Linked DNA regions of Yarrowia lipolytica. The protein of the gene in region 2 interacts with the protein of the main gene of each other region in a biochemical or structural test. Links are inferred from orthologs where the notes say so. Each region holds a gene or a part of one and is shown on either strand. Other genes may lie near its edges.

Region 1 (15,739 bases), on a different chromosome or scaffold from region 2:
ACAGAAGGCTCCGAGTACAGGTAAACGTTGCTGGGGTAGATGAGCAAGGGTCCATCTGGGTATGCGTTCTCATGGTGCACGGAGGGAGTCATGAGCTCCTCTGCGAACAGGTGATGTTTGCTGGGTGGAAGCGCATCGTCGTAGTTTGGTGGCGGTGTAGTGTGTGTAGTGTTATCGGAGTTGGGGTCCGATTCCGAGTCCGACAGCGACAGCTGAGAGGCCGCGGAGTTGGCGGAATGGTGCGACTGGGACGTCGGGGTGCCCAAGGGGGCAGGCAGAGTGTTTGAGCCGGAGCACGTGGCCAGCGGGATACTGATACTCAGTTGCGATGTTCGTCTCTGCATCGTAAACGGTGGTGGTTCCATACTGAAGGGAGGCACACTAGACACAGTGGCAGAAGCGGCTGGTTGTACCTGCGGACTGGGGGACTGTCTCTTTGGGGAGGTTCTGGAGTGGTAGTTTTTGTGTTCGCTGCGGTAGTCACTGTCGTAGGCTGCGTCCTCGGGCTCGGCGTCGACGTGGGATCGTTTGACGGAACCCTTGCGAGACAGTCCCAGCGAGAAGGAGGCTGCCAGAGGAGAAGCAGCAGCAACCGAGGGGGCGGACGCTCGCACGGGCGTCGAGCTGACAGGCAGCACAAACGGCAGCGGCGCCGCTATCGAAGGCTCTATAGATGTGTGAGGCGGCGAGACATTGTTATTGCTGTGGCTGTTGTGGCTCTGGTTGCTACCTTGAGGTACCATCAACGACAGGTTTTTGGTGTTGGAGTTTTTGCCCTTGGGCGGTCGGAACGGCAGGTGGCGCGGCGGCGCCGGCAACGAGTCCATGGCGTCGGGATCGTGTATCTGTTGTGCTTGTGGGTGGTGGTGGTTGGAGGGCACGTGCGAACCCGCCATGTCGGCCACCGAGCAGTTCATGGGTATCTGGGAGAGGTGAGGAGAGTTGGGGTTGGTTCTGGGCCTGTCGTTACGGGACTCGAGTCGTGAGAGCTGCGGGAGAGTGCCGGGTGCGCGTGGGGGTTGCGAGTATCCAGATGAGTTGGTTCTCGGGCGTGAGTACGTCGCACTTTGGTGTGTGTGTGTGTTGTGTTGTGCGGTGGTGGTGAGGCCAATGTATATTCAATATACATGTATGTACAAGGGAGTCTATTCTGGCTTTTTGGCAAAGTTAGTGTGCACCTTGTTTTTTAACCTTCGTCTGAGGCTGGCACTCTGATCTATTTTTGTGTACGCACCCACATGTGGGAGGTAGCTCATGTGAGTTTATTGTGCTCCCATGTGAGCGCTGTGGTGCTATAAATATCCATTGTGGGATGGCCAAACGCCAGCTTGGAGCGTGAGGACGGCGCCGCGAGATTGGGCAGGGCATTTGTAATTTTTTTTTGGGGCCCAACATTGATTTTTCCGGTTTTCACTTTGGCGTCATGGCAGCAGAGTCCTCCACTCGTACCTTGCCTTCGCCCTTTACTCTTTACCCCTTGCCTTTGTCACTGTCTCTTTTTGACCTTTTTGTCCTTTTTTTGACATCCTTGATTTACAGTACTTGATTATAGTCTTGTTACTGTGGAGGGTGCACAACACAAGACTGTGTGGGAGCGTCGGGAGGGGGAGTATCAACAGAGTCGGCATACATTCGTACAGTACAACGTGTACATACCCAGCTAGGACGGTCCGAAACCAGCTGCAAGTCCCCCAGATTTCGGCCACACGTGCCCTCCAGCCATCCGCCGACTCACATTCATTCCTGATAGTCGCATCTGAAGCACCCTTGTTTTGCACCCGTGTTTCAACGTGAGACGTGCAAAAATTAAATGCATCTTTTCACGCACTAAAACTAACCGACACCAGTGCACCCAAGTGAAACCTGCGGTTTTAGATTTGGCAGGCCTGCACGCTTTTCGTTGTTGGTTTCAGGACCACTCTCAACGGAGGTATGGGATGACGTATGAACGTGGGAGCAGCAGCGAGAACCAGCTCAACGTGCAGACATTGTCCAGGGTATCCACTTGCAAAGGCCTCGGAATGTACCACACTCCGGCGCGAGCACCGTTTTTCCTTGGTATTGCCCGTAGGGGCTCTGTTCCCCAGTCTCTCAATCAAGGAGTAAATCAAGCCAAAATAACCCTACAATCATAAAACTGTACTGCGACCAAAGGTAGACGTATCCGAGTAGATTCCGGGGGCTCCAGCAGTTGTGTGTCAGTTGTCAGAGTCTTCTCACAAGACGTTTCACTAGAAAACGCTAGCTCGTAATATTGGCATTGTTTTGTCTTCATTTTCAAATAATATCCCCAGCATAATTTGGCTGCCTGCCTTTGTGGAGGGCCAATGGGACTCTACAGGAAGTGTGACAACCACAAGTGTCTACCGAGCATCTAGCATCTACAGTACATACAGAAAATTGTTATAAACGGATCCGACGCGGTCACATGACACGTACCCCTGACATGAGGAGGCTGGAAGAAGAGCTCAGGAAGCTCGATATGGACACGTCGACCATCATTCCAAACTGAAACCATGTGTGGAAAAGGGTGTGCGTGATCGGCACCATGCGTTAAGGGTAGTCTGGGTCTGGGTCGCGATGAACACGGTCTAAATGGGAAATGGACGCGAGACGAGAGGAGACAGGTATAACGGACAAGTAAAGGTCGCAGAGACAAGAGGAAAGCTGAAATCGACCCAGAATCGCTCAATTGATTGACCAAACGGCTTTCAAACAGACTACCTCCTCTCAAACATACTCAAAAGTGAACCCCCCTCCCACCTACTGCACCACGATCTACAGTCTCACAAGGACATCTCATCTGTCCATATCTCATCTTGCAGCCACCTCTTTGTCGAGCCCACCAAAGGCAAAAGAGAGCGACCCCAAAGTGAATCTCTCTATCGAACCGTCCATCATGTATGGCTGCATTACCATATTCGATCCGTTCCTGGTGCTGGTGCAGGTACAGAGCAAGGCACAAGATATGAACGTACAGAAGCCAATGTTCTGGGGCTGTGTCGATAGTTGGCTGCCTTTGGTTCCTTCCTACAGTACGAGTACAGCTGAATTGTACTTCAACTCCACCCAGACATGTACGATACTTGTCTCTACTTGTAGCTCGATTAGTAGCCTCTGTGGTCGTATCAGTGCGTCGAGCAAGTGTACAAGTGCACGCTTGTGAGACACGGCACTTGCTTGCTACCAAAGACATGTGGAACAGCATCGAATGAGTATGGTCACGTCCTCTGAGACCTTGGATACGACATGGGTGCATTTCCGTGGACGACCTGCATTCAATGAGACACGAGTGGCGGAGAGAATGGCGAAGAAAATCAAGACTGGTATGTATCTGGAGTCCACGCTACATTTATCCACCAGTGGGCTCACCCTTACGCCCACAAATCACGTCTAGCCACACTAACGGGCGTTTTAAAGCATCACAAAGAGCAGTAGCGCGGAGAGCCGCCTTAGTTGAAGTTCCTAGCGCCACTACTGTAGAGCGCGGATAGTGTCCATAACTCTTACCCATCAGCTGATCCCGTAGTCACACAGTGTCAGCTCAAGGACATACCTACAAATGTAGCTATAGGCGGCGTCTTGTCGACTTCGCGAGAGGCTGGGGGAAGCAAAGCTAAGCGAACGGAAAGAGAAGCGAATACGAGTTGCTTTCGAGCTAGCGACGGATTCAAATGGAGAGCCAAGCCAACCTAATCATCTACAAGTACAGGTAGCTTGTTTGAAGAGAAGCCACAGATGTAAACTGTGGGTGTGAGAGATGGAGCCGAAAACTTGTGAGAAATGGACAATCTTGTATGGTGGGGTCAATGTTTCATCTTTGGATGTCAATCGAACAATGTACTGGTATGTGTAGATACGAGTACGAGAGTGTGTTGAGCCTTTGAGAGCGGTAAAAAGGAGCGTCACCAGCTTGCCCATTCCCACTACAAGTAGTAATCAGCGGGGTCATTCGATTATCTACCGTTGGTGTCTCAGTTGCTGAACGACAAGAACCGACATCTTAGGGGAGCCCGAAATAACATGCTATAAGTACTTGTAGTCTGTACTGGGTGTCACAGTATGTACTACTCATGTCAACAGTAGATGAGTATTTGCAACCAGTACTGTAGTTGTAACAGGACTACTGCCCCAGTATCCATCCATTCAGTCAAACAGCAAAGCCCCTACTGGACATCCAGAGGATATAACATGAGGAAAACATACCCACATGAGGAAAACTTGACATGAGGAAAACATGACATGAGGAAAATAAGTCAATTAATCATTCAAGGATTCTGTGAATATCTGTTAGCCGCAACTCCCGTTTCATTCGGTCATGTACTCGGAACTCTAGACTCACCATCAGACACGCTACTGTACCATTTATTGTAACGCAGGAACGTTACGACTGATTCACCACCTTAAACCCCCTCTAAGAACCCATCAACTAGTCTCATTCACTAGCCCTCCTGTGATTAAATACTACCGTTGGATTCCCCATCGTCTTTTTTCTCTAGTGATTTATTAACATAGACAAATAATGGCGGAAAAAAGGGGGATGTTGGTATGTGTCCAAACACAGCCAACGCCCAAGAACAAGACGCTTGAATGTTGCTCCTATCAATCCAAATAGAAAAAGATACGACAAGGTCCGCCATTATTCATAATACCGGTTTGTACAAGTACTGTACAGACAACTCATTTATCATGATCCAATTGGGTCAATATATCTATATATGGGTGTTAGCTACTAAGAACACTATACTGTTCAATAACTACGTACGCTTACTCATCTAAACCAAGTAGCTACTGTACAAGTATACCAAAACAGCTATCACATAGTGGCACAAACAACCAAAAACTACCCTGGAATCAATAGCACCACCCTTCTCTGCTTCGAACACTACATGTACAAGAAGTGCTCTCGAGCCTAGACAGTCATGTTACAGTAGTTCAGGAACCAGATCAAAAAGCAAATAAATACGATCGAATGTACCTCTTAACTTCAATATGGCATGTGTTCGGAGATATCAGTGGGATCCTCATAGCTTTGCGCGAACATGTACACACACCTACATTGTCACCAACATATGTACTGTGCTGTACATCCTGTACTCATATATCCGTGGAGACAGCCGAACTACAAACAATTATACTCACATCTCCTTCTACACTACTGTTCTCATTCGGACTAGATCCTCAGCGGACTAGATCCTCAGGCTCTCTTCTCATATCATCAATCCATTCTAACCTCTATCTACCTACTATCTTGTCACCTCCAAGGTTGCAACATAAATAGAGTTTCTATATAACCGTACTTAATCTCTTACTGAGAAGCACACTGGACACCCTGGGCTCCTCCAGGTCCATCCTCATCCATGTCCATCTCATCATCGCCGCCCATAGCTCCTCGGTGCTTGAGAGGATCCACGTCAGCCAGAACAACATCGTCAACATGGACACTCTCGGGCACACTGGGAAGAGCAGGCTTGGCAGGCAGAAGAGCAGACAGCTGTTGCAGAGTCTCCTCGTTGAGAGAGCCAGATGCGGGGAACTCGACCTCAAACTGAATGAACAGGTTGCCGTGAACCTGGTGTCGGTAGGAGGGCATACCCTTGCCCTCCACGACCTTGGTGGTGCCATGCGAAATGATCTCGCCGGGGATGATCTCCACCTTGATCCACTCCTCCTTCTCAAGATGCTCAATCATGAAAGAGCCACCGGTAAGGGCAGTGTTGAGATCAATCTTGGCGTGGTAGTACAGATCGTCGCCTCGTCGGACAAATCGGGCGTGGGGCTGCTCATCCAGCACAAAGACAACGTCACCAGGAATAATATCAGGACCCTGGTCACCCTCACCAGAGAAGGTGATCTTCTGTCCGTTGACCATACCCTTATCAATGTTGACCTCGAGCACCTTTCGCTCCTCCTTGGTCTTTCTTCCGTTACAGTCCTTGCATCGATCCTTGGGGTCGATGATCTCGCCCTCGCCGTTACAGTCGTTACACTTGGTCTGGTATCGCTGCAGCATGGGGCCCATTTGTCGGGTGACAAACTTGAATCCCTGACCCTTACAGGTCTCACACTTGTTGACGGAGCCGGCCTTGCCTCCGATACCGTCACAGCCGTTACAGAGCACGGTCTTCTTGAGAGCCATCTTGGAGGTCTTTCCTCGGAACAGGTCCTCGAGGGTCACGGACACGGCGTGAACAATGTCACGGGATCGTCGGGGGCCCTGGGGCTGGCCGCCGCCGAACATGCCGCCCATGCCGCCCATGCCACCGCCGCCGCCAAAGAAATGCGAAAACAGCTCCTCAGCAGATCCGCCGCCCATTCCTCCGTCGGCTCCTCCGCCGAGGCCAGCCTCTCCAAAGTTGTCGTATGCAGCTCTCTTCTGGTCGTTTGACAGAACCTCGTAGGCCATGGAGATTTCCTTGAACTTGGCCTCGGCCTCGACGTTGCCGGGGTTCTTATCGGGGTGGTATTTGAGAGCACCAACTCGGTATGCCTTTTTGATTTCCACTTCGGTGGCGGTTACGCTGACGCCTGGGTTAGTAAAGCACTTCGGGGTGCGTGGCACGACTGAGCGAGAGACAGGAGAGATGTGGGAGCACGTAGCGTGTCTGGTAATACCAGGTTGTGTGGTTTGGTCATGGCAATCGCAGGATGGTAATGAGAGAGCCGCAACATTGCTACTAACCAGTGTGACAAATCCAGATGAACAGCCAGTCATGTACACAAACACAGAACCATCCTCAGATTGCACTGTGTTCATATTCATACTGCCACATTGTCACATTGTCACATTGCCAATCCCTCCCACTCAACATCACCACAGTTTCGCTTCGCTTCTGATCCTTGATATGATAAGACTCTGATCACAAGTCTGTGTGTGGTCTTCATACTATTCAGCTTCATCTCAACCGCTCCGTCCATTCACTCTCCTCTTCTCTTCTCTTCTCATACTCACCGAGAACGTCGTAGAGTTTTGATTCCTTGACCATTTTGTCTGTGTCGTGTGTTTGTGTTGTTGTGAGAGTCTAGGTCTAATTTTTCCAGGAGGCCTCAACTTCTCGTAGATTGGCTTGTATATACACTGCCAAAAAATTTGAGGATGGGCCTGAAAGTTAGAGGGCACAAAGAGTACTGGGAGTGTTTAACGCGAATAAGGTTCACAAAGAAGGGTGTAGAAAGATCCAGACACTGCCTGCTCAGTCCCGTGCCAGTGGAGAAAGAAGGGCGTTGGTGGGGTGGCGTGGGAGTGGTTTTTTGCTGTGTATTTTTGCCACGCGAAATCGGGTCTCTGGCTCCATTTTGCGGCCGTTTTGGGGTCTCTGACGTCGTGCATAAAGTGTTCAGTTGTGCGAGCTCTTGTTCCAAGACCTTCTTCCAGTTTCCCCAATGTTCGATGAGCTCAACTTAGTGACGTAATCGCGAGTTATAATTTACAGGTACGGGAGCGGGATCGCATCGAGGAAGGGCGATGGTGGGGACACAATTAAATATCACGCAAAAATAGTGATAAATATACGTGTGCCATGGGCAGTATATTTTGATTCTTTTTGCGTGATATTTATTCATCCCTTCAACCGCCTCATCTCGGATCCCAATTGTCTCGAGTTAATCACTGATGCACAATCTAATTGCACGCTGGGCACGAGTAAAAACGACGTGCTGGGGCGTGGGTTGGTGCCTCAGATAGCAAGGTATACGCAATCGAAGCAGCATGGAAGTTTCGTGGTCAGTGGGGACCGGTTTGGGGTCCACGAGATAAGTTCTAGGGTGTTCTAGGAGCTGAGAAAGAGTGATGTGTAGATGGGCTTAAAAATTACCGACAAGTAGAAGGGGAGTCAACTAAAGATTCAAGTAGCAAAACAACCAACGGTGAAGGATTGCAACTTCGTTGGTATTGAATCGATAACGATTTTGGAGCAGTTAGAAGCTTTAAGAAGGTGGCCGGGCTGAATAAATGAATTTCAGCGTCCGAAATACCTCTTGAAACAGCTTTTGAAGCCTCGTGTGATGGTGCTCACATCGGAACTCCTACTTGTAGTAGTATGTTACTGGGACTGGATGGAGACATCTTGATCTGCTGGATAAGAGATTTATTTTGAACCACTCAAGTCCATTAGATTCATTGGATGACTTGGTTGATTGATTGAAAAGAACTGCAGAAATCTGATCAGCAGATTGCTATAGCTGGCTTACCATTGTCCTTCCGTTACTTTTTTTTTTTTTTTTTCCTGCATATACATTCATTTAATTATAACTTTGCTGTGAAAGAATAACCTTTGAAATGAATGTACGCTTTTCTTACCTCTGTCGGATCATTTACTTGGAAGTTAGTTAGAGAAAATGCCAGCTTGAGGTTCAATACAGATCCCAGCGTCGTTCGAGATCCAAGGAGGATCTTTGAGAAAAAAATGTAGCCGAATATATATTAATATATTTCGATATACCTGGATTGACCAAAATGTAGGACTCAACATTACCTATATTAGTTTGGACTAATGTACCCTGAAGGGGTTTAGCTACCAGAACACCAAATAACCACCTTCGAGAGAGTAGACCTCTGTTTGTCAAGTACGAGCTACAAGTACAGTACAGTACAGTACTTCACTTCTAATAACAATAAATTAATGCAATAAATCCATGCTGTTGTCGTCTGCCATAGTGATGCAGCTGTGAATGATTTGCCAATCGTCCAGTAATGTTGCAGATATCTCTGCAACAGCCCACTCAATAACGGGTCGTTTGATCCGTACAACTGTCACGGCGAGGAATGTTGAGCACGACCTTCAGGCTGTCAGATGGGTTCGCTCGTTCGCAAAGTTCACTCATCCACCTCCTCCTCGTCACTCGACTCGTAATCCACAGGAGCCAGACCAGGAGTCAAGCCAGGCTGACCCTTGTACCGCTCAAACTCATCCTCTCCCTCAGACTCAGTTTCCTCCTCCTCAGGCTCGACATAGTTGGGATACGTCTTGTGCTTCACCTTAGGCTTGGGCAGACGACCCGTGAGCTCAGCAAGCTGCTTGGACTTGAGCATATGGGAGCCCCGCTTGGAGTTGACGTGCTTCATGATCTGGGCTTGAAGCTGCTCCTCGTCCATCGCGTACTCGGACTCCTTGACGTCATAGGATCGCACCAGCCGCGCGTTCTTCTTGATCTCAGCCTTGCGCTTCTTGTCAGCGAGCTCCTTGTCCAGAAGCAGCTTGAGCTCCTCCTTCTGTTTTTGCTCTTTCTGCCGTAGCTTTCGCTGGGTCGCAGACTTCTTTTTGTGCACTCGTCGGCTCACGTCCTCGGACGGAGCAAGCGTTCGGCTCAGTAGCTTGGCAACGGTGGCCTCAGAAGCACTTGAAACGCCCATCTTTTGTGTGTAATGTGGTGGTGATGAGTTTGTCTTGGATACAGATATGCACGACAAAAATAATTTTCGAAATCATGCATGTCGAGGTTTAGGGTTTGTATTACATAAGCGAGGGAGGGACGGAGCACTGGGTTGTATAAACCGGCCCTAGCGATGCTATATCGGAAATATTGAAAGACATTTTTGTTTTTAATCTCGTGAAAAGTATTATTCACACATATTTTATCTCGTAACTCATGTCAGACATCCAAGTTGGATGAACTTCATATCTTGGACGCCATCAAAGCCATATAACAGCCGAATGGAACTCGATGAGAAACTGTTAGACTAGAGAATATTGCTTATATGGCTTTATTACTCAGATCACAAGACTTCATTTCCATACAAACCTCCTAAGACTGGTGTTGGACCTAATGAGAGTAGACTCTACAGCATATCTCCAACTTGGTGTGCCATAAGGGAAGGGCAATGTGAAGATATGCGGCTAATGTTTTTTTATAAATACAATAAATACTCAGTTTATATGGATTTAAAGTAATTTAAACCATTTTGGATCACTCTGGGATGTCTTAATTAGACACCTCGTGCTCAAGTGCAGAGTTATGATAAGCTTACATAATCAAAAAAACAATTGGTTTTGAGAAGGGTCTTATTTAGTTGACTGATTTGAGAGATACTTTCAAACATGGCCAATTTTCAACATAACGAGCCAGTACAAGGCCCAAAATGAGTGAAAGAGAAATTTCAGTGTCAGTTTGTTGCATTACTTTCACTGATAATACAACAGCACGTGATTTTTCTCGCTCACCAACTGCTGTCCTGTAGATCTCCAAAAAAGTGTATTCCAATTTCACTAATTTGTCAACTAACTATGGAGGTTGAATACACATGGAAGTGCACATATTCATCCATGATCTTGATGTAGATCATTTGAACCGAGATAAGTCTTTTATTTAGATGATTTTGTATCTATAAATATAAATATTAGCTCTCCATCCCTGCGGGAACACTACAAACGAACTCCCAGGTGTATTTTTGCCTCAACAAGTTGTCAACTAAAATGTCGACTAGAGACTACAGTAATCACAACCAGCGTCGACCTAGAACAACGAATACAACGTCCAATGACATGAAAAATACATCATTGGATTTCGCTAATCTGGGGCTTTAAATCGACATTACAAAGATGCCCAAAAGTCTACAGCTGCAAATATATCGAGACCACTTGTTGATACTACACTTTGATGCTGAGATGATGAGATATACACTCTACTTGAAGGTCAGGAGGTTGTCTTAGGCTAGGGAAGAGAGACATGTGGCAAGACATGTGTTCAGAATCCGTCCAGAATCTGTCCGTTATTGAGTGTTATTGAGCCGCAGAACCATTTAGATTCCGTATTATCGTGATTTACGTGGTAATGTGTAGCACACGTAACATACTGCATCCACTCATATCCTGCAGATCTACAATACTGTGTGTACAATTGCGCGAGTACTTATACAATATCCATCTTGAATCGACAAAAGCAATCTCAAAGGATGGACAAGACTTTACTTGTACTGTACAAGGTGCTAATATGATGAATACTGTCTCCGCACAGTTATTTATGTATTCGCTCGAGCACATTACTCGTACATAATGTGGCTCGCCAATAAGCACTACAACTGAATTGACCGTAAAGAGAGCGCCTACAACACTCAGATGGGCGGATAATAGAAAGTGTTTTCTTACAACACATGCGCTCTCCGGTTGTAGTGCTTGGCTCTTATTACGACACTGATAGCTACACTCGTTCGCAGATGGAGCCGTAAAACAACAGTCGCTACAGTCCTGTTATTTTCCGCAACCCCAACTGCTCGCTCTCCTAATAAAAATGCATTTCCCCTCTCTATCTGTAAGGAGCATCAGCGTCCAGAGCGTACTGCAGCTCGAGCTCCCACTTGTCTCCGTTAGCAAGCAGCTTTTCCTTGTTGTACAGCAGCTCTTCTCGAGTCTCGGTGGCGTACTCCACGTTGGGAGTCTCGACAATGGCGTCCACGGGGCACGACTCCTGGCAGTAGCCGCAGTAGATGCACTTGGTCATGTCGATATCGTACTTGGTGGTTCGTCGCGATCCGTCGATTCGCTCCTCAGCGTCGATGGTAATTGCCAGAGCGGGGCAGATGGCCTCACACAGCTTGCAGGCAATGCATCGCTCCTCACCACTGGGGTAACGTCGCAGGGCGTGCTCGCCTCGGAATCGAGGAGAGACGGGTCCCTTCTCGAACGGGTAGTAGATGGTGTAAGGAGCTCGGAAAAACTGTTCCAGCACAACGTACAGGCCACGGAACATCTCGGCCAGCAAAAAGTACTTGGTGGCCTTGGAAAGAGCGCCCTCTTCGCTCTCCTCCCAGGTGGCGGGTCTGTGAATTCGGAAGCCTGCTGGGGGAGCAGCAGCGGCAGATCCTCCGGCGTAGATGTTGATGGCGGAGTCTGTGGCGGGGGCGTGGAGCCGGGCTGTGGAGGACAGCAGCCGCATGGATCCGGGAGCGCCTCGCAGAATCGATCGGGTGACAGCGGGTCGGACCAGACTCAACATTTTTTTTTGGTTTGTGTGTGGTGGTGATGTGTGTGGTGTTGTACCCTCTCCAAGCAGTATTACACCTTTAAGCTTGTCACGTAATTTTGCTTGCTTTCATTGGCTGACGGTTGGGAGGGACGAGGTTAGGGTTCCTTGAAATGAGTGGCCGCAGGCCACGAATGGTCTACAGTGGGTGTATTGGTGGGTGAATTTTCGTTTTAGACGTGGCATATGATTGGCCGCATGTAAATTAGTATATATTTATTTCAAAAATTGCACATTATCCACCCCTCGACCTACTTGTTGCAACCTCCGGACAACCCCCCATTAGCGAATGCTGATTGTAACTGAGGTTATTGGTGGGAATTCCACCCCCCCCGCAAATTTTGTTTGCATATGGGGAGACGAAAAGGTGTGGGTTCGAGTTTGGCGCGGGTTGAAAAGGGGGATATTGTGAGTAGAGTTTGGTGATACTGTACCAACAGTGCATTCAGGTTGGGAGTTTGAGTCATTCGGGATATAAAGAAATATATGATAGAAGTACGAATAAAATAGTAATTAGCTATCCTAAAACACGGCTCTACGAACGGCCATTTGATCGACATATTGGCGACAGATTACTACTGTACTTGTACTTGTACTTGTATTTGTATTTATACTCTTCTTTCGGACATGTCACTGACATTATTTCATTTCGTTACTCGGACATTTCAATCCATTCCTCTGTCTTGCCTCTCCCGTCTGCTGTATGTCTAGCAGAAGGTCCGACTCACGATCTTCGCAGCTCCTTCATAATCACCAATTATGATACCAAGAGTGCTATTAAAGCCGCTAATAGGGCCAAATAAATAAATGCAACACGATATAGCGGGGAACAGTGCTACATGGCTCATGCTGTCATTGGCCCACATTTTGGAGGAAGGGCAGATAAGAAAACTTGTTGGTGATAGATTCACTGGTCTCTACAGGTGGTAGTTGAGCTCAACATGCCATATTCCACTACTGTCACATTGTCTGTCCCTCCTACCATGCACTATTAACCTGGAAATGAAAAGCTTGTCAAGCCGATATGTCCGACGGTGGCTGCAGGGTGGGCATTACACCTGTTAGCCGAGATGAGGCGGCCGAGATGAGGTTCACATTTCTTGTTTCACGACCGGGGGAAAGAGCAAAAAGTATCCGCCGGGGGCGCGTGACCGTTGAATAGAAGGTGCGAAATTCCATTACAAGTCCGTCGACGTCATTTGTGAGACCCAGAGGTATGTGCTGGAATTGATCGTCATGAGACAAGCAAGTCCAAGTATGTGGTGTGGAATGCAATGTGCCCGCACTCTGGAGTACAGCAACTGTGCCACACAGTGCGGCAAACGGCACTACGGCAAATTTTTCACCTCGTGGTCACAGCCGTTTTCTCTCAATGACTCAGCTCGCTCGCCCGCCCACTATGCACTCACTTTTTTTTTGATCTACTGGCCGGCTTTCAGATTCGTGACCTGAAACCCAACCTTGAAGTGAATTGTCTGGGGTCAGAAGCATGACGATAAAACTTGTGATACCCCTATTTGTCTCACGTACGACGTAGATGTGCAGATAGCCCACATGGCCGTTCCGAATGATTCCGGTGACTGTGTCCCGAAGCAGGTTCTGTATGGTACGGTATAAAATACCAAAGTTGCACGCAGTTATCATGTTACCAAAAGTGTCCAAGAACAAACTGTACTGGCTATAACGATAACTCCGTAGAAGGTAGAGAGTAGCTTTCACCCGAGAACTTAAGAGGTAGAGCCGAACCTCTCGAGAGGTTGTCAAGTAGCAAAAAATTTGCCTGCAAGCAGATCATTGCGTCGTGGGGGGGGGGGGGGGGGATTTTACAGTACAAGTCTCGACTGTCGGATTCTCTCTACTGCAAGTACGGAACAATTAAACACCCACAGCGCACAATACAAGAGTCTAGCGGTAGGCAATAGTCAGCTCTTAGCTCACATATCTTACTTGGCCATGAGGGGTATGTTGTTATGAGAATGTGACAGTGCAACCTGGAGTCTATGAGGATGAGAAATCTAGAGTGGCTCGGCTGATCAAGTTAAAGCGCCCGTCTTGCCTGACTCAAGCGTTGCCACCGGAGCTTGTCCCGTGTCTAACTTGCGTCGAGCGTGAAGACAGGCGTCTTTTTTGTATCCATCTTGCTTTCTCGGGCATATCTCTGGGTGGTTGGAGCCGAATCTCGAAAGAAGACGGTGGTACATTGTCCCCCTCCCCCCGCCAATAGGCCATATAGCCAATTCGTTCTAATACATGTGGGGCAGGTTGTGGAACTAGGAACTAGACGGTCCAGACCACCGTTCGACAGACAGCTCGTTTCCGCTGTCCCGACACCCAGCAATGTTTCATACACCGTGGGGTTTGACTTGGGGTCTCCGAGAGCATTTCCACTACAACCCTGTCGAGCACTTTTAGGGATTTAACATGGTTTGTGGAGATGACTGTGGGTGCACCCTACGTAGGAACAGCCATTTCAGCACATGCTACAGCCAGCCAGCCAAGTCTGGCACAGGCTAAGACCCTCTTGTCTATCGCACTAAGGCAGATTGACTATGATAGAACCCCCTTGATGGGCACTGTAGTGCTTGTATTGGATAGCACATTTGCTGGATATAAGTCCGGTGATATGAGTCTAACTGTGCTGAAGAGCCTACAAAGTAGCCCCCCAAAAAAAAGCCAAACGGCAAAGTTACTATCGAACATGAGGGATGCGCTCAAAGCGTTAGACACTGCTCAGATATATATATCTACACGAATCCGGATGTAAAGAGAAACAGCCAGTAATCCCCCCCCTAAGTCGGAGATCCAGACACACAAGCGATACCAGTGACGACCAGACTAAAACCAAATCTCATCAATACTTCCTACTTTAAAAGCAACTCCCCCCCCATTTACCAGCCCTCTACACACACCTCATCCCCACCACGTAATCACACACAATGCATGAACCTTGGTCGCCACCCATGTATCCGTCTCCCATCCAAGGATTTGTGGTTGCGTCCGACTTTGACGACGCGCCCGCCCTCGGACTCAAAAACGTGCTAGAGCCCCGCTCCCTGCCCAAAATTTCGACTCTCAAGCAGACCTCCCCGTCAGCGCTGCACGCCCTGCATACCCACACAGTTGAAACGCATCTCGGCACAGCTAGTGACAGCGAGCCGTCACCAATCTCGCCCATCTCACCCAAGCGATCCTTCTCGCCCCCCCAGCAGTCGCACGTGCCCCAGGTGTGGAATCGACGCTACTCCGAATCTTCCGCATCCTCAGACAGACCGCTGCGACGGTTCTCATTCGACACCGACGCGTACCAACGACAACGACGCCAGTCCGTCCAGTCCCAGGGCCCCGTTCTCAAGTGGCTGCGAAAGGCCACCGTGTTTCTCGTGGAGATTTTCGACGAAGCCGACCCCCTGGAACCGGAAGAGGAGTTCCCTGCCCCTTCGCTTACACATCAAAACTACAGACTCTCCTCTGCAAACAACTCCGCCATTGAATCCGATAGCGATACTGAGCTAGAGAAGATCAAGTCGCGTGACTCCAGCAACAAGAACACAAGCACAAGCACAAGCACAAACTCGACAAACAATATGGAAATCATCTCGACCGGAAAACGCGTCTACAACTTCTTCTCGGAGCGACCTCATTGGCTTGGCCTCTTGGCCATCTTCACAGCTCTCCCCTTGTCATCCCACGTGGTCTATGAGTGGCTGCAATGGGCCGTGATCGGCTCAGCTGTGCTCCTGGGACCCACCTACACCGCGGGCTTCTATCCGGTGCTGGGGTT
Region 2 (17,408 bases):
AAAACGAATGATGTTTAATATTGTTATCATGAGTTGAAGTGTATTGGATTGGGGGAACGAAGGTAAGGTCCCCATTGAATAGATACAAGTACAAGTATAGTATTTATATTTCTGTATTTCTGAACAGAGTTGCATCAATTGGGTTGGGTGGGTCCCTTATACAGTATCTTATATCCGCTAATCAGACTGAATATACAAGTATACTTGTACTTGTACTTGTACAAGTGACAATCATGCTCACAGTTCTCCGCAAGTTTCTCCTCTGCTTGTTGACTGGATAAACATTAAAATAGTAACAATCAAACATTAAAAATTCTGGTACTTGTAGTCGCCTCAAGCTGGACCATCTAGAGCTGCTGATAAATGAAGACGCAGTAAGCGGTGTGTTGTAACGTTGTCGTAGAATACGTTTGACGTGCATTCTTCGGGTCTGGGTGACTTAGTAGCCAGTGTCATGATGGTTGATCTTATAGACGATGTTTTTTTTTATTCTAGGGAAATACATTTCAGCTACTTGCGGCCTAAAGACAATGTTATACCCGCAAATCGGATTCGGATTCGGATTCGGTTATTCAGAAGAGCGCATGACATTCGTGTTCGCTTGTTCACGCATTCTTCCTGTTCCATCTCTAGACCGGATAAATATATCAACAATCAAACAAAGCGTTTTTTTAAGCGATTACATAATACACATTCATATTTGGTGACCCATGTTTTAGTGTTTTTTAAGATTCGGTCCCTTGGCCCAGTTGGTTAAGGCGTCGTGCTAATAAGAATTAGCTTCTTTGCAACGCGAAGATCAGCAGTTCGATCCTGCTAGGGACCAATTTTCTCTGGTTGTATAGTGTAGCGGTTATCACCTTGGATTCTGACTCTTGAAGTACCTTCCAGTAACCCCGGTTCGATTCCGGGTACGACCTTTTTGCCATTCTCGAGCGTTGTAGGCTTCTATTTTTGACTCGAGAGTTCTTTGGACTTCTGTCCCTGACCTCGACACACCGCAGACCTCTTTTTTGCACTTCCTACGTCACCACCGCTCAGTACAAACATATTAACTAGCTATACAGACTTACGACCAGCGTTGTGCCATGGTAGTGTGACTACTCACAGGGAACCAGTGACTCGTTGAATGGAGCTCGCGGTGCCGTACTTGGCTGGAGCGATTCCGACGAGTTTGTTGTCCAGATCGTAGACGACGTAGGCAGATCGCAGGAAGGTGTCTCCGAGAAGAACATAACCAGAAGAGTACTTGGTAGAGACAATACCAAAGACACACTGGTTGGAGTTGAGCCCAAAGTTCTTGAGAGGCATGATGAGCTGAGAAGAAGGAACAGAGATGGTCGAGCTTCCAAATTTGAAGTCCACGTTGAAAGAAGCAGCGTTGCAATCAATAGTGTATAGCTGGGTGTTGGGTTCGAGGGTTCCCAGCTTGAGCTTTTTCTGAAGACCAGCAAATGCAGCTTCAGGGATGTACGAGAAAGAGGTTCCGGAGTCGAGAATGGCATTTCCGCCGCTGGAAACACTCTGTCCATTTACCGAAATGTCTCCGTAAGCGACCTGGAAGGCGTTGGGCGAGGTCAGAGGCAAAGTCTCGAGAGAACCAGAGTACTTGGAAGAGTCAACAGCTCCGAAGAGGACAGAGCCGGTGGCCGCATCAATGGAATCAAGGTAGAGAGAGTAGACGTTTCGGGAAATGATTCCTGATTTCTGGAGCATCACAGGGAAGTTATCGTACTTGACCTTGGCTGCTTCTCCAGAGGCAAGACCAATTCCAAACACACCTACTCCCCCAGGGGCATCAACAGCACTAGCGAATTGGAAATCAGGTACACTAGCGCCTCCAACAGTGATAGTGTCCGTGACCCAGTTTCCAGCAGCGCTTCCAGAGACGTACTGGATAGAGAAGTCGTTAGAGACGAACTTGTAGGAAGAAGAGGCAGACGAGTCATATTGGCCGGTAGCTTGGCAGGCATTGTTGGCACAGTCCTGGGTGTCGTTTCTTGAGTAGACCCAAAGATCAGAAGAGCCAGTGTCAACCAGAACCGTGAATTCCTGAGCAGGAGTGCCAATAGTGATGTCAGCAGAGTAGAAGACGTAGTTCTGAGAAGTCAGAGTGACATCTGTCTGTCGCTTTCTGAGGACTGTGGTGTTGGACCAGAGGTGGCGAACGCCCTCGAAGTTTGCGTGGGGGCTGGACGTCTCCTTGGCGGTGTGCTTGGTAAAAGCCACAGCCAGGTATCCCAGGGAAGAGGGAGCAGCTGTTACCAGGGTGATCAGAGGAGTTCAGGTGGGCAGAAAAGCAGGGATTATATAGTAGCAGGTGTGTTGTTTGTGTTACCAAGCCAAATATACCTTACCCTCATTACCACTTCCCTACAGTACTCTTACTCTACACTTTCTCATCTCATCTCGCTTGTCCAACATGTCGTTACAGTACAGTAATGTCATCTGTCAAGGATAACTGTCAGTTCCTGTCGACTGTTTCGAAATCCGCAGATATCGGAAACGCTGTTATGGGTTGGAGATCGCGCCTGACACGTGAAAGATATGGCTCAAACACACAGCCGAATCCTGTGGCCATGGACTTCGGATTGTAAAGCCGATATGGCGCACCCACCCCTACGACGACATTTTCCGGTGAGTGATAAGATGGATTTCGCAATAAAGCATGACACTTGCGGTATATTATAAAATTCGAATGAAGAAATAAAAATTACTAAGCTATACTAAGAACGCAAATGCGATTTTTGAGGGTTGGGGGATCATATCTACGCCTCATACGACTCCTCCTTGACTGTAGGCTGCTCCTTGAGAATGTGTGTCTCGGTGAGAATGTTGGGGTCCTTTCGGTCGAGAATGATGGACTCCGAGGTATTGTCATCTTCAACATGGCCAATCTCCCGAATGACAGCAATACCGGTCTTATCATCTGAAGGCTTGTCAAGGGCAGTGAAAGGCTTGCCAGTGATGAGCGAGTAGATCTTAAGAACTGTCAGACGAACAGTAAGAATTCCGAAACCCCAGAGAAGAGAGCCTACAGGTGCGGCCACAAAGGCTCCAAAAGCAGACCAGTCATCCCCGTATAGACCCTCCAATAGAATAATCAGCTTGATACCCTCTCGGGCACTCTTGAAGTAGATGGATCCGAAAATGAATACTGTAAGCATACCTCCGAAACCGCCTCCGATGACCTCCCAGCCAGAAATAAAGTACATTCGCTTGGAAAGACCACAGAACATAATGGGGATAACGGCTGCCGAGAAAAGATCGGCAATCAGGAAAATGTTCAGAACGTTGGGGGCTTTGAGGGCAACCACGATGACGGGGGCGTTGATGCACAGCACAATAAGACGCACCCAGACCATGGGAATCTTGTTTCGGAAGAAGTCGTTGGAGATAGTGGAAGCCATCGCAGACTGAGAGGAGTCATAAGAAGCGACGGAGAGAGACAGGACAAATGCAACGGTGAACCCAATCACCCACCCAGGCATCTCCTTGAGAACGTAGAAGAAAGCGAGAGCAGATCGCTCGTCTCCGTACACAAAGACCTGTCCATCAATCTCAAGCTTAGCCCAGACAGCAAGCAAGCCAGTAAGACCAACAACGGTCAGAACAATAAGAACGATAGAGCTGGCAATAGCGCAGGCCCAGAATAGCTCAACATTGTTCTTTGAAGCAAAAGTTCGCATCCAGAAACCACTTAAGAAGCAATCGTTGGTAGCAATGGCAACAGGAAGAATGTAGATGAGCTTGTTAGCGAGCAGGTTCGGGCCCAGCATACCGGATTTGGCGGGTTCAGAAGGATCAACGTGGAAGTAGACTCCCAGACCAACACAAACAATTACCATGAGCACCAACATCATTCCTCCCTGGAAGTTGTCTGTGAAGAAAGATGTGTGGAAACCTCCGACAGCAGTGTAGATGGAGGTGAACACAGCCTCAACAATCAGGACGGGCAGAGCATCAATTCCAGTAAGTGTCTCAATTGCAGCCTGCACAGCAGCCAGCTCAGCAACCATATACAGATACATTGTTCCAATGGTGAGACAGGTGAGGTAGAAGGAAGTGAGCCAGCCGTATCTTAGTCGGGTCCATTCTGTGAGCACAAAGCCATCGGGGCATGCTTTTCGGACAATGGGGCCTACTCCGGCGAAAAGCATCATGGGGAGGGCAGAAGAGAGACCGTAGACAACCAAGCCCTCGACACCTGCTCGCACAGCAATGTCGGGATAGGCATTGAGGGTTCCAGCTCCCATGGCTGGGTTAGTAACGCACTTTCTCACGCAAGCATTATCTTGTTCGAGTGTGGCGGTGTAATCTCAGCCTTTGGAGGGTGAGACAGTTAACACCAGCGGTCGTTATACCGTCTCAAAAGCCTCCAAAAACACCCGCAGTGCAAGTCATGATTCTGTTCAGTTAGTACTCACCTGATGCCACAAAATTAATGGCCAGCGGAAGCGCTGTTTTTGTGTTGTTCGCAGACAAGAATCCTTCACTGCCCTGGTTCTCTTTCTTCTGTTTTCGCATGTGCAAGTAGCCAACCACTACTCCCATGACCAGGAAGAAACATAGGGTGCAGTAGATGATGGCGTTGGACGCCGGTTCAGAAATGTAGCCTGTCATTGCAGTTGTCTTGTTGCGATGAAGAGAAAAAAAAAACGTCTCTGTGGGCCAAGAGGAGCTATTTAAGAAGAACCTGTTGACGCACCTTGCTTCGCCAGTGACTAGCTTTTGACTCAAGAAAAGGTTGAGCGTGTGCTTGTTTAGGATATGGATGACTCAATACTATGCAACAAATGACTCAAGTGTTTGAGCTAATGTCTTTGGTCTGAAAGTTACGCCTACAGGGGTGTGGGGGGAAGTGCGGCTGTGAGCGATGCGGGAAATAGGTTCTACTGGTAGTGGGAGCAGTTTGTGGTACATTCCAGTTGATTATAGGCAGAAATAATCATACGTGATGTGGTTTATCGCCTCCAGCAACAACACAACGCACCGACTACTTTTCAAGTTGCTCCTTGTGTCAACCTCAATCAAACTCTCTTTTTTTACCAATTTTTTTTCCATGAAACTTTTTCCATCTGTTCTTTGTTGACCAACAAAGACTTGGCCAATGGCTCCCGCACGAAAACAAGTGTTCGGGAACCACGGCGTCTAAAGTTCGCTACAAGCGGCTTGGGTCTTTTGAGTCTTTTGAGTCTCTTGAGTCAAAGCGAGTCACCGAGACTCATTGAGACTCATTCACTTGAGTCATACGAGTATTATAGGTTACCAATAACGTTGGACTACACTTGAACCACTCTGGTTTGGCTGCTGGCTTGTCTTTTATGTCTATTGCTTATTTGCAAGGTCAAAAAACAACGCCGCTGTAGGAGTGAGATAGTTGCAAGTATGGGACTGACCAAGGAGGCCGTAGGTGTATATCTGATGGCGGCAAGCCGGAATGAATGGTTGCTCGAATCTGTGACTTTAAAGAACTCGTTTCTGCCTCTTCTCTTCCAAAGTACAAGTCGCAAGTGTCAGCCCCACATGACTCAACGACATGACTCAACGGAAGGGTAATATCCATGTGGGTGTCCCGATCAGTTGTCCCGATCAGTTTAAAAATGATGCTCAGGTAGGACACAAGACTAGGGAGCACAAAGAGAGCCTGTTAGACGTTGCTAATGTGGCTTGTCCTTCGATAACCGTTCAAGTACTGTATTATTCAGGGCCTGTACTTCTATATTATTTGTATGGAGCTGGTCATTGTGTGCTTGTTCGGTTGAGCTGCAATGCATGGTCGGCAGAGTGTACTTGTACAATGTAATTGATCGGGTTGCTTGTGATGATGCTTCTGTGTAAGATGGTGGAACTACCTCTGGGGTCCACAAAATCTCTCCGAACTGTCATTTTTGTATTACGATTATCTTCTTGTACAGTAGTTGGTGATAGCTTATTGCCCTTTTCATCTCGCATATTGGCTCCCATAGAATTAGAGATTCAAAGCAAATGCAAGCGAGGTTTGAGGTGAGCATAAGGCGCAGAAAAAAACCAACCGTGTTTTGGTTGGCCAATATGGGACATGAGAGAGGTACATAAATCTGCGTCAACTGGGTACATACGAAACGGGTAAGCACTTTGAGGTACAAGGAGCCTTGTCCACCCCAACGGCTCTTGTTCCCCTCCCCCACGGTCTCTTTACGATATTTTGGCCAATACTTTCCCATGTCTCGTGGATAGTCTCTTTCAGAGGTGCCATACGACATACTGTAACGAATCTTGGGTTCGGGCTCTAACGTATTCAGAGTGTGGGATCTACAAGAAAACAGGCGGTTATATAGCATCGGGAATCGATTCCGACACGCTTTCTTCATCGTGAGACACCGTGTAGATCGGTGGTAGGTACGGCAGGTACGGTCAATACACGCTGTAACCTTCTCCAGCCCGAGTGCAAGCATATCTCCATTGACAGAGATGCTGAAAATCTTCGCCGACCTCTGGGGTAATCAATTGTGGTCATTTGGAGTGACGAGAACGAGAAGACAACATGAGGCATACAAGCCAACGTTGACTGTGAAGGGGATTGTTTGCACTCTATAGCTACTGTAAATACAGTAAAGCACGTGCTGAAGAGAAAAGTAAAGATATCTTGCAAAAAATCTGATTTAAATACACTCGCTTGCGCTCCTTGTATCTGGTCGTCGCATACGACAATAAATACCTCTATGGCTGCGTCTGGTGAAACTCACTGACCAAACTCAGCTACAAGGATGTACGGAAGCATAAGCCTATAATGCCTAAAGAGAAATAAAATCCTGGTGTGAGTTGGCGAGGATAGCTACAGTAAGAAAAACACCCGTAATACAAGAGGGCCTCCACTCTTTTCCTGAGAGCCCAAATTGTGCAACAATGGCTTTGCCTGATGTCTACTGTGGTCATCTTTATATACCCACTATCAATTCCATGATCAGGTGTCCTCGTATTGTTGCAGCTAGCTACAGTATGTACGAGTACCGCTGGTAATCAGCTACTGCAGGCTACAAGTACTTGTAGTTGTACTGCGATGCCTTGACGGGTGCCTTGGTGAGATGCGGTGTTTACACGTGACAGTATGTTACTGTTACCGTTACCTGTAACAGTTACTATTGAGTGACCCACATAGGAGCTTCACGATCCTACAAGTACAGTATGTACATATGGTCAGTATAGCTGCGTTGTATGAACTGGTTACCTGACACAACACAGACATCTGCCCATTCGTCTAGCACCAGCGTCTCTGCATGCGCCAACAACGGCGTGGCAGAGAGAAGTCCAGAAGCGTTCTTTTTCAAACACGAAAAAGACACCGCTACCAATCTTCCACTAAGGCACCAAAAAGAAATGAGGTGTCTGCAAATCAATCCTCCTCCTTACACATGCATCGTCCTCGGAGCCACACATCCCTTGTACGAGTACAATACCCTTTGAGCCGCCTTGCTCCAGGATAATCCCGCCTGCACGATCGTCCCAACGTCCTTGTTTCCATGTGGTCTGACTGGTGGTACATCACAGTAACAAGCAGAAGTAGAGCACGTACATATGATCTATCAATTGAACAGTAAGAGAATACGATAAGAGAAACGTAAGGTCCCAGAGTATTATGTAAGGATAGACAATTTGTCAGGGATAACAGCAACATCCGTCTCGCTTCCCTCGTCCGTGGCACAAGGCAGATCACTTGGTTGCGGCCAGGGTGTGCAGAATCTGCGCGCCCTAATCCACTCGAACCATGTGAGGCGGACGAGAATAGGAACAACCATTGAGAGACGTTGCGGGGCGAATATTGCTCGGAAAAACCCTGGAAGGTTGTGGAATACATGTAAAAGTGGCAAAATGTAGGATTTTCTTCGAGCACCTTCTAGCATCTTCCATTGTCTTCGACCGTCTTCCGCCAGGTTCTCGTAGGTTCTACAACTCTAAGGAAGTCAAGGTGCAACATGCATAAAGCTATAGACAACTGAGGCAGCGAAGCAAACTTATATAGACCCGTCCGATCTGGAGATTCTCGAAACACACACATTAACACAATTACAACAAGAATGAACGAATCAGAATTCACTGACAGAGCTAACAAGATCCTCAAAACTTCCGTCGAGCTGGCCCAGCAGCACCAGCAGGGCACTCTCCAGCCAATCCATCTTCTGGCTGCCATGTTCGATGCAGAGGACGATGCCTCTGATCCTTACATCAAGGCCGTCGTAGAGCGAGGCAAGTACGATTGGGACCAGTTCAAGCGAGCCGTCAACAAGGCACTTGTTCGACTGCCCAGCCAAAGCCCTCCTCCCGACGAGTTGTCCCAGAGCCCCGCCTTCTCCAAGGTGCTGCAGAATGCCATCAAGTACAAGCAGCGACAAAAGGACGAGTACGTGGGCCAGGACCACATTCTCATGGCCCTTCTCGATGACTCCTCTATTGAGAGCATTCTCAAGGAGTGCGGTATTAAGAAGGACGTCATGGAGGCCAACATCACAGCCGTGCGAGGAAAGCGACGAATTGACTCGCGAACCGCTGACGGAGCCGACGAGTTCGAGTTCCTCAACAAGTATGCCATTGACATGACCAAACAGGCTCGAGAGGGTAAGATTGACCCTGTCATTGGCCGAGAGGAGGAGATCCGACGATGTATCCGAGTGCTGGCACGACGAACCAAGTCCAACCCTTGTCTGATTGGTGATCCCGGTGTGGGTAAGACCTCAATTGTCGAGGGTGTCGCGCAGCGAATCATCGACGGCGATGTCCCCAACGTTCTGGCTAACTGCCAGCTCTTCTCTCTCGATCTGGGAGCTCTCAAGGCTGGTGCCAAGTACCAGGGAGACTTTGAGGAGCGAATCAAGGGTGTTCTCAAGGAGATTGAGGACTCCAAGGACATGATCATCCTGTTCATCGATGAGATCCATATGCTCATGGGTGATGGAAAGGGTGATGCTGCCAACCTGCTCAAGCCCATGCTTGCTCGAGGTTCCCTCCACTGTATCGGTGCCACCACCAACGAAGAGTACCGAAAGCACGTTGAGAAGGATGCCGCCTTTGAGCGACGATTCCAGAAGATCGACGTGCGAGAGCCTACTATTCGAGAGACCGTCGCCATTCTGCGAGGTATCCAGAACAAGTACGAGCTGCATCACGGAGTCCGAATTCTGGACTCTGCCCTGGTTTCTGCTGCTCAGCTGGCTTCCCGATACCTCACCTACCGAAAGCTGCCCGATTCGGCCGTCGATCTGGTCGATGAGGCTGCAGCCGCTGTTGCTGTTGCTCGAGACTCTCGACCCGAGCATCTGGACTCCCTGGAGCGAGAGCTTGATCTGCTCATGATCGAGGTCAAGGCTCTGGAGCGAGACCAGCACGCCGACCAGGGTACCAAGGAGCGTCTTGATGCCGCGAAGCACCGAGTGGCTGACATTGAGGAGGAGCTCGGACCTCTGCGAGAGACCTTTGAGCGAGAGCGAGCAGGTCACGTTGAGCTTAACAACCTCAAGCACAAGGTTGATGAGCTCGAGACCAAGGCTCTCGACGCCGAGCGACGACGAGACACTTCCACTGCTGCTGATCTGCGATACTTTGCCATTCCGGATCTGAAGAAGCGAATTGTTGAGCTTGAAGAGGAGAATGCCGCTAAGGAGAAGTCCATGATCAAGGACGTTGTTGGCGCCGACCAGGTAGCTGAGACTGCGGCTCGACTGACTGGTATCCCTGTCACCAAGCTGACCCAGGCCGAGAACACCAAGCTCATCAACATGGAGAAGGTGCTTTCTCGAGAAGTTGTTGGCCAACCCGAGGCTGTCAAGGCCGTTTCCAACGCGATCAGACTGTCTCGATCGGGTCTTGCCAACCCCAACGCCCCCGCTTCTTTCCTTTTCCTTGGTCTCTCCGGTTCCGGTAAGACTGAGCTTGCCAAGAAGCTGGCAGGTTTCCTGTTTGCTGACGAGCAGGCCATGATCCGAATCGACTGTTCCGAGCTCATGGACAAGCACTCCGGCTCCAAGCTGATTGGTGCTGCTCCCGGATACGTTGGATACGAGGAGGGTGGTATTCTTACCGAGGCCCTGATCCGAAAGCCCTACTCCGTTGTGTTGTTCGATGAGGTTGAGAAGGCTGCTCCCGAGGTGCTCACTGTTCTTCTGCAGGTTCTTGATGATGGTCGAGTGCGATCTTCCGCCGGAAAGGTGGTCAACGCATCCAACTGTATCATTATCATGACTTCCAACCTGGGTGCGGAGTTCATCAACCGATCGACCTCGACTACCATTGACCAGTCCACTCGAGACCTGGTCATGGAGGCTGTCAAGGGCCACTTCCGACCCGAGTTTCTCAACCGAATCACCGCTATGGTTGTCTTCAACCGGCTGTCTAAGAAGTCCATTCGACGAATCATCAACATTCGTCTCCATGAGATTTCGAAGCGATTCGAGCACAACAACCGAAACCTCAAACTTCATCTCGATGAGGACGCCATGGACTACCTGGTGGAGAACGGTTACAGCCCCGACCTCGGTGCTCGACCTCTCAACCGACTCATCCAGAACGAGGTTCTCAACAAGCTTGCTGTCATGCTTCTGAAGCACCAGATTAAGGACGGCGAGGAGGTCCGAATCATCCGAGGAGACAAGGGTCTGGAGATTCTGCCCAACCATGACGGCGAGACGGACATGGAGCTGGCTGAAGATTCCTACGATGACTTTGACGACGAGATGGATCTCGACTAAGGTATTTTTTGCTAGGAGGTAGCTAAATATTGTATAAAATAATGAATTAACTGTATAAATGGATCGCTGTATCTCTACAGTAGTGTGTACAGTAACACGAACTGTGGTGGGTAATGATAGAAGAAATGAGAGTAAAACCGAATATTCTGAAAGGGACATTTCGCCCCACCCTTGGTCTGCTTACTAACTGAGTCAATCTCCGATCACAGTCTGAGCCAATGGAGGTATTACAATATATTCCGTAGTAAGTCGATATTCAATTCAAGTATGAGTCCACAAACAGTCGGACTATCTTGTTGTTACATGAATACGATCCGCCACCATACGTACCAAACAGCCTGCCGCAAGACACACACACAATCTACACATATATCGCCACCGGCCCATCACAGTTGCATACTGTCTGCACGTATGACATGACAAGAACTACACGTTGACGAGATCAGTCACAGTATACTCCAGCACGCAGCTGAGCTGCACGGTCATGAAAAAATTGTGCTGCAATGCAAAACATAAAGATAGGCAGTATCCACCGCAAGCCTGAATAACCACACTTCACCCCTTATTCAAAAAAATCAATCAACATAATGGCTACCCGTGCCCAGTTTGAAAACTCTGACGAGATTGGTGTCTTTTCCAAGCTCACCAACTCCTACTGTCTGGTGGCTGTTGGCGGCTCCGAGAACTTCTACAGCTCTTTCGAGGCCGAGCTCCAAGATACCATTCCTATTGTCTACTCCACCATTGGCGGCACCCGACTCGTGGGCCGTCTCACAGCCGGCAACCGACGAGGTCTGCTTGTGCCCTCCACCACTTCGGATGTTGAGCTGCAGCACCTGCGAAACTCCCTGCCCGACGAGGTCAAGATCCAGCGAGTTGAGGAGCGTCTATCTGCTCTTGGAAACGTCATCTGTACCAACGACTACGCCGCTCTTGTGCATCCCGATATCGAGCGAGAGACCGAAGAGCTGATTGCCGATGTGCTTGGTGTTGAGGTCTTCCGACAGACTGTTGCTGGAAATGTGCTTGTCGGCTCTTACTGTGCCCTGTCCAACCAGGGAGGTATTGTCCACCCCCAGACCTCCATTGAGGACCAGGATGAGCTTTCTTCGCTTCTCCAGGTCCCCCTGATTGCTGGATCCGTCAACCGAGGTTCTCCTGTTGTCGGCGCTGGCTGTGTTGTCAACGACTGGATGGCCGTTGCTGGTTACGCCACCACCTCTTTCGAGCTTACTGTCATGAGCAGTATATTCAAGCTCAACAACGACCAGCAGGGCGAGCAGTGGGAGCAGACCAAGTGGTCCCAGCTGTACCAGCAGATGGGTTAAGCACAGCCAGTCTGCTTCTCCTCGTCAACACACTGGTGTGCTGGCTGCAGTGCGAGCTCTACTCAACAGCGAGCATCGCTTAAACTATTATGCATTATGTATTTGGCATGGCCTGACTTCAAAATATGGGTGTGTCTCCAACGGATCAGTATTCCTTTGCATGGCACTATTCGCAGTTTTAATTAGATAGATAATACAAGCTGCCAAGGTGGGATTGTGTACCTGTACCGGTACTTGTAATGAGAGTAGGGTGTGGTATGACAGTGTACTATAACGAATGTCTTTGTAATTGTCTTCCTCCGATGTACTTCAGTGGTCACACACTGCTTATGGAAATAACGTAAGACGTTCCTTAGAAACACGCGCTTGAAGTCACCTCTGTACAGTAGTTTTCTTACATTAAGAAAATCCCACGTTGAAAAATGCTCCAAGCTTCAGCCACTAATGATAAATACTACTGTAGATGAGTTGTATCGTGAAGTCATGAGATCAGTGATTGTTGAAATGTACATGAGAAATCCAAGTAAAGCGGTCAAGCTTGTTGACTTGACCAACTGGGGCGTGTGTCTGTGTACTACAGCAGTAACAGTTCAGCATTCTCCTAAATAACCCTGGCTAATCCTGACTAACCCTGAAATTGTACGACTTCACCACAGTATGTACTGTAGGCCACGATAAGCTGTTCTGGTGCTACACCAAAACTGACAAATATTGGTGCGAAATTCTAGGCGACAACCAAGGCAATTTTTGTATTCTGGCGCTCTATTATAATCCAACTCACGACCCTCACCCCATAAGTAAATATTCGTACTCGTGCTGTACAATTACAGTAACTACTTGTAGTTGAAAATCAACTCACAGTACTACAAAATAGCTTACTAATGTACCCCCTCACTGGGTAATAAAAATACCCAGTACGATAGGTGGAATGACGTAATGTTTCATCCATGTTACACGTTAGAAGTTTCTCTATTGCTGCTAATGTTCAAGCTGAGAACTCATATATTTTTTCAAACCCTCTTCAATCGTTATCTCTTGGCAGATACCCGAGAACGGCATTATTATCTACTCGTCATGTAACTCTTCGCCGCAAGACTACAGTATTGAGTGTGGTTGTGGTTTTGAGCCGTTGGTGGGACAATGGTTTTTTCTTGCTAGTGCATCTGCAACATCACATGATTGGGGTAAGTAGAACCTTGTGGGGATGATGTAAAGATAGAGCAGTGTGTGGTGACAGGGTCTTGTTTATTTTTTTTTCGGCAAAGCAGTGTTGGATACAACCACTATACAAGTCACTCACACCTTGACATCGCATCCTCCCGCCCCTGCTTTAGCTCCCCTTCCGTGTCCACCAACAAAGCTAAACACATTCCCAAGGTTTGTGGGACACATATTACACCTAATTCAAGAAGTGCAGTCTGGCCCACACCAAGGTACACTCACTACAACCTGTCCATCACCACCCATGTCGTACCACGGTGGGCAGCACCCTCCGCCACCCATGGCGCACCCTCCGCATCACCAGAGCCACAACCAGCAGGCTCCCACAGGCTCGTCAAGACGTCTGTCTGCTCAGACCCCCATGGCCCGCAACTCGACTGCCATGAACTCCATTGAGTCCAGCGTCACCCATCTGCTGGTAGCAACCAAACAGCTGCTTGAGAGCCTCACGCAATGGGCCCGCGGAGCAGCCTCTGAACAGGACGTGTCCGACATCTACGTCAATCTGGGCAACGAGTTCAACATTGCCTGTCGAGCGTTTCTCAACGCCGGCTTGCCCGTCACTGACATGGGCGATGTGCCCCAGGCGCTGCGGACGGTGCTAGAAAAGGCGCTAAGCGAAGAAGCATCGCAGGAAAACCTCGATCTGTACCTGCCCAGCATTCGGGAAATCATCATCAACCTGCTTCAGGGTCTGAAGAAGAAACAGGCTGCACTTAGAGCAGCTCAAGGAGCACAGGCGCAACAGATCCCACCTCAACAATCACCCAAAAATTTCCGACCACACCCGCCCCAGCATCAATACGGACCCTCCAGACAGGTCTCAGCACCCACCTCTCTGCCACAGCACAAGGATGATAGAGACCATGTGCGACGGTCTCAAACTATAGGCTCAGCACCTAAGCAGCCAGGATTACCCAGTCCACCGGTGGCCCGACAACCGCCGCAGCCACCGCATATGGCCCCACCAGCTCACATGCCTCCTGGCATACCTGGAGCTATGGCTCAAGCCATGGCCCCTGCCATTCCCCAGGGCTCTCCGACCAGACGCCCGGGATCACGTGGAGACCCTCTGGCAGCTTTACAACGAGGAGAGGCGCTCGAAAGACGAGCATCCAGACGATTCTCGGCTTACCAATACGCCAAACTTACCTCTGGAGCACCTGGAAAGGCCGTTCCAGACATGCCCATGTTGCCATCGACTCCTCTTCCCGACGAGAGTGATTTAGGCGATGTGTCTACGGCTACAGATGTTGGAGGACCTGGAATGTCTTTGTTTCTTAGACTTGGAAATGCTACCAAAAAGGTCAAGGCTGACTCGGATGTCAACATCAACGCTCTGAGACTCCTATTCATCTCCACATTCAACTACTCTCCTGGAGCAGACGATTTCCCCAACATTTACATTCGTGACAAAAAATCTGGAGTGGAGTATGAGCTGGAAGAGTCGCATCTGAGCGATATCCACGACGGAACTATGCTGGTGCTACATGAAGAGGAAGAGAAGGAGAAGGAGAAGGAAAAAGAGAAGGAAAAAAGCGACGACATCCAGGGCATCTTGGAACATGTCAAGGCCATTACTTTTGCTCTGAACCAGCAGAGGGAAGAAATTGGAGACTTGAAGCTTATGGTGGAGAAGAAACCTCCCTCGGCAGCAGTCGGTGCCGGTACACAAGGTCCCTCTATCGTTAAAGCAACGGAGCCCATTGTCAAGACTCCCGTCATTGCTCCTCCAGAAGTGTCACAGGCCAAACTGTCCACTATTGCGCCTGCTCCTGTTCCCACTCCTATTGCCGACAAAGATCTTCTCAAGGCCAAGGCTGCCGATATGCATGCATTGAAGCACGAGCTGGCTGTTATTCGACAGCTCAAGGACTCATCCTTCACTCTCTGGAAGACTTCAATGAAGGACATTTCCGACACCATTGGCAAGCTTCGAGACTACTCTTCTCTTCCCGCCGCTGGAGACAACTCTCGAGCCTTCATGGAAATGGCCAACAAGAAGGTCTCTACTGACTCAGATGCTCTTCTCACTCGAGCAGACGATCTCCAGGACGTTATTGAGGCTCTTAGAAAGGATGTCGCTCAGCGAGGCGTTCGGGCTGAGCCCGGTCAGCTTGAAGTTGTCACCAAAGAGATGGAGACTTGTAACACCGAGCTCACCGCTCTGGAGACTTACATCAACTCGCAAAAGTCCGTGTGGAAGAAGGTCTGGGAACGAGAACTGGAGACCATCTGCGAAGAGCAGCAGTTCTTCAAACTTCAGGAGGAGCTCATGGCCGATCTGCGAGAGGATTTGGCTTCTGCTGCATCTACTCTGGCTCTTGTTGAACAGTGTTCCAACGAGCAGCTTAAAAGTGCCGCCAAGAACAGTCACAAGGCCGTACTTCTCCCTGTTCCTACTGAGTCCGTTCAGGATCTCAAGGAGGGAGTTCTTTCGTCTGTCCTTGCTCTGAAACCCGACCATGAGTCTCGAATCGAGGCTATTGAACGGTCTGAGCGGTTACGAAAGTTTGAACTTGAGTCTAGAGTCGACAAGTTTGAAAAGGAGCTGGGCGAGTTTGTGGGAGAGAACAAGCTCAAGCCCAGTGGAGGAGTTGCTGAGGCTGAGAAGCAGCGTCTTGAACGAGAACAGAGAGTGTGGAGAGAGCAGTTTGGCTACGGAGGAGATGAGGATGATATTGATGACTTAGATGGAGAGCTCCAGACTGCCAGTGAAGAGGAGACCGACGAGGAAGAGAGTGAAGCAGAGACCGACGAAGACGAGGAAGAGGAGGAGGGAAATTAGTAGACGTCAGACGAGAGAGACAGATAAAACGACAGATCGTTTCGCACAAAAGGATATAGTGAATGCATTGGTAGGATTATAGGAGGCGGTGGGCAGTAGGCTGTATCGGACATTACATGAGGTCCTATTATAAGTATTTAATAGTAATTTCCAGTAATCGTATTGTATGTACCCACGGTGGTGCGATACAAGAAGGGCCTTGAGCATACAAATATTGAATGTATATACTTCTACAAGTAGGCGTTATGGTTTCATCCTGCAAATATACGTCTCGGTGAATGTCTCTCATTTGGTCTTTATATTCAAAGAGACATGCGGTGGGAACACCACGTGATGGATTCAGTGTTGGTACAAAAAGATTGTCACGTGATCCCTACGATGGTAGTACACATTCCAACTTCTTTTCGTAAAATTATTCAACACTTTGTCATTCTACATCTCGTCACCTCCTTCCATTCACGTCAGCATGTACAATAGCCACAATACTGTATTTGTATTGCGTTGTAACTTTGGAAGCGGTTGGTTTGTTACAACGGTCGTGTGCATAAAAGCGGTTTAGATTCCGGATGGCCGGGTACACACAATACCAACTTTGCGGTTCCTGCTCGGAGCAGGAAGTAATTACGGGTGGAGTTGTGTGATGCTGGGGATTTCAGCTGTATTAGGGAGTCAGTTGAATCGACAAGACCAAGGAAACGGACTCACCTGACTGTTTGACAGTAAGCCGATCATCACATGTCGGCCGAGTCGGTCTTGCTCTAGTTGTTATTTTTCAGCTTGCGGTATATCCGTGTCGGATCTTTGTTTCATGACTGTTGCCTTTTTCTAGCCAGCTGCGCTTTGTCACGGGCGTGTATTTCTGTCCTGCCCTTCCAGTGGCTATGTGACCAGTCAGTCAGTCATTAGATCAAGATCAAATTGATAACCTTGAGCTAATCACTCTTGGAACCCGGATAAAAGATGCCGAGCTATTTCGGCCGAAGTTTGTGAGAAAAAATTGTCGGCTCAAAATAGCACACTAGGGCAAATCGGGAACTGTCTGTTGTCGAACGCATGCCGTGTGGGGAAACGCACCCCGGAGAGCGTCACGTTGCGCTCCAGCTAGGCGGAATTCTGTGCGTCATGTGCGTTAAGATGCAGACACAAGTATTTTCTCTCACTCTCGGAGAAATCCGGATGGACCTGTTTACGAGTGTCTTGGGGAGCCGTGCATCCAGCCCTGGATGTCGCGGGAAGCAAGAGTAAAAACACCGACCGCAGCTAGAGCTTAGACATCCATTTGGCCGTTTGCCTTTTCATGCATCTTTGCACTTCCTAGGTTGAGTTGGACCTGATGTTCCACTGAGTAGG

What was found.
Region 1: the proteins of YALI1_E33056g (region 2) and YALI1_F01405g form a complex in vitro, tested with the Saccharomyces cerevisiae proteins (2 studies listed by BioGRID). The link is inferred for Yarrowia lipolytica from reciprocal best matches to the Saccharomyces cerevisiae genes HSP104 and YDJ1.

Annotation. Positions count from the first base shown.
Region 1 is NC_090775.1:133,738-149,476, forward strand, and holds YALI1_F01405g (uncharacterized protein), read right to left. Parts: upstream 6,764-15,739; coding exon 5,309-6,763; downstream 1-5,308. Other genes in the region: YALI1_F01346g (uncharacterized protein), read right to left, coding at 1-917; YALI1_F01369g (uncharacterized protein), read right to left, coding at 2,741-3,259; YALI1_F01430g (uncharacterized protein), read right to left, coding at 8,816-9,352; YALI1_F01456g (uncharacterized protein), read right to left, coding at 11,242-11,931; YALI1_F01486g (uncharacterized protein), read left to right, coding at 14,895-15,739. UniProt on the Saccharomyces cerevisiae protein: Probably involved in mitochondrial protein import. Is also required for efficient translocation of pre-pro-alpha-factor. Involved in heme regulation of HAP1, as a component of the high-molecular-weight (HMC) complex.
Region 2 is NC_090774.1:3,296,292-3,313,699, reverse strand, and holds YALI1_E33056g (uncharacterized protein), read left to right. Parts: upstream 1-8,057; coding exon 8,058-10,721; downstream 10,722-17,408. Other genes in the region: YALI1_E33112g (uncharacterized protein), read right to left, coding at 1,105-2,258, 2,394-2,448; YALI1_E33094g (uncharacterized protein), read right to left, coding at 2,769-4,256; YALI1_E33072g (uncharacterized protein), read right to left, coding at 5,886-6,437; YALI1_E33024g (uncharacterized protein), read left to right, coding at 11,309-12,049; YALI1_E33002g (uncharacterized protein), read left to right, coding at 13,515-16,058. UniProt on the Saccharomyces cerevisiae protein: Required, in concert with Hsp40 (YDJ1) and Hsp70 (SSA1) and small Hsps (HSP26), for the dissociation, resolubilization and refolding of aggregates of damaged proteins after heat or other environmental stresses.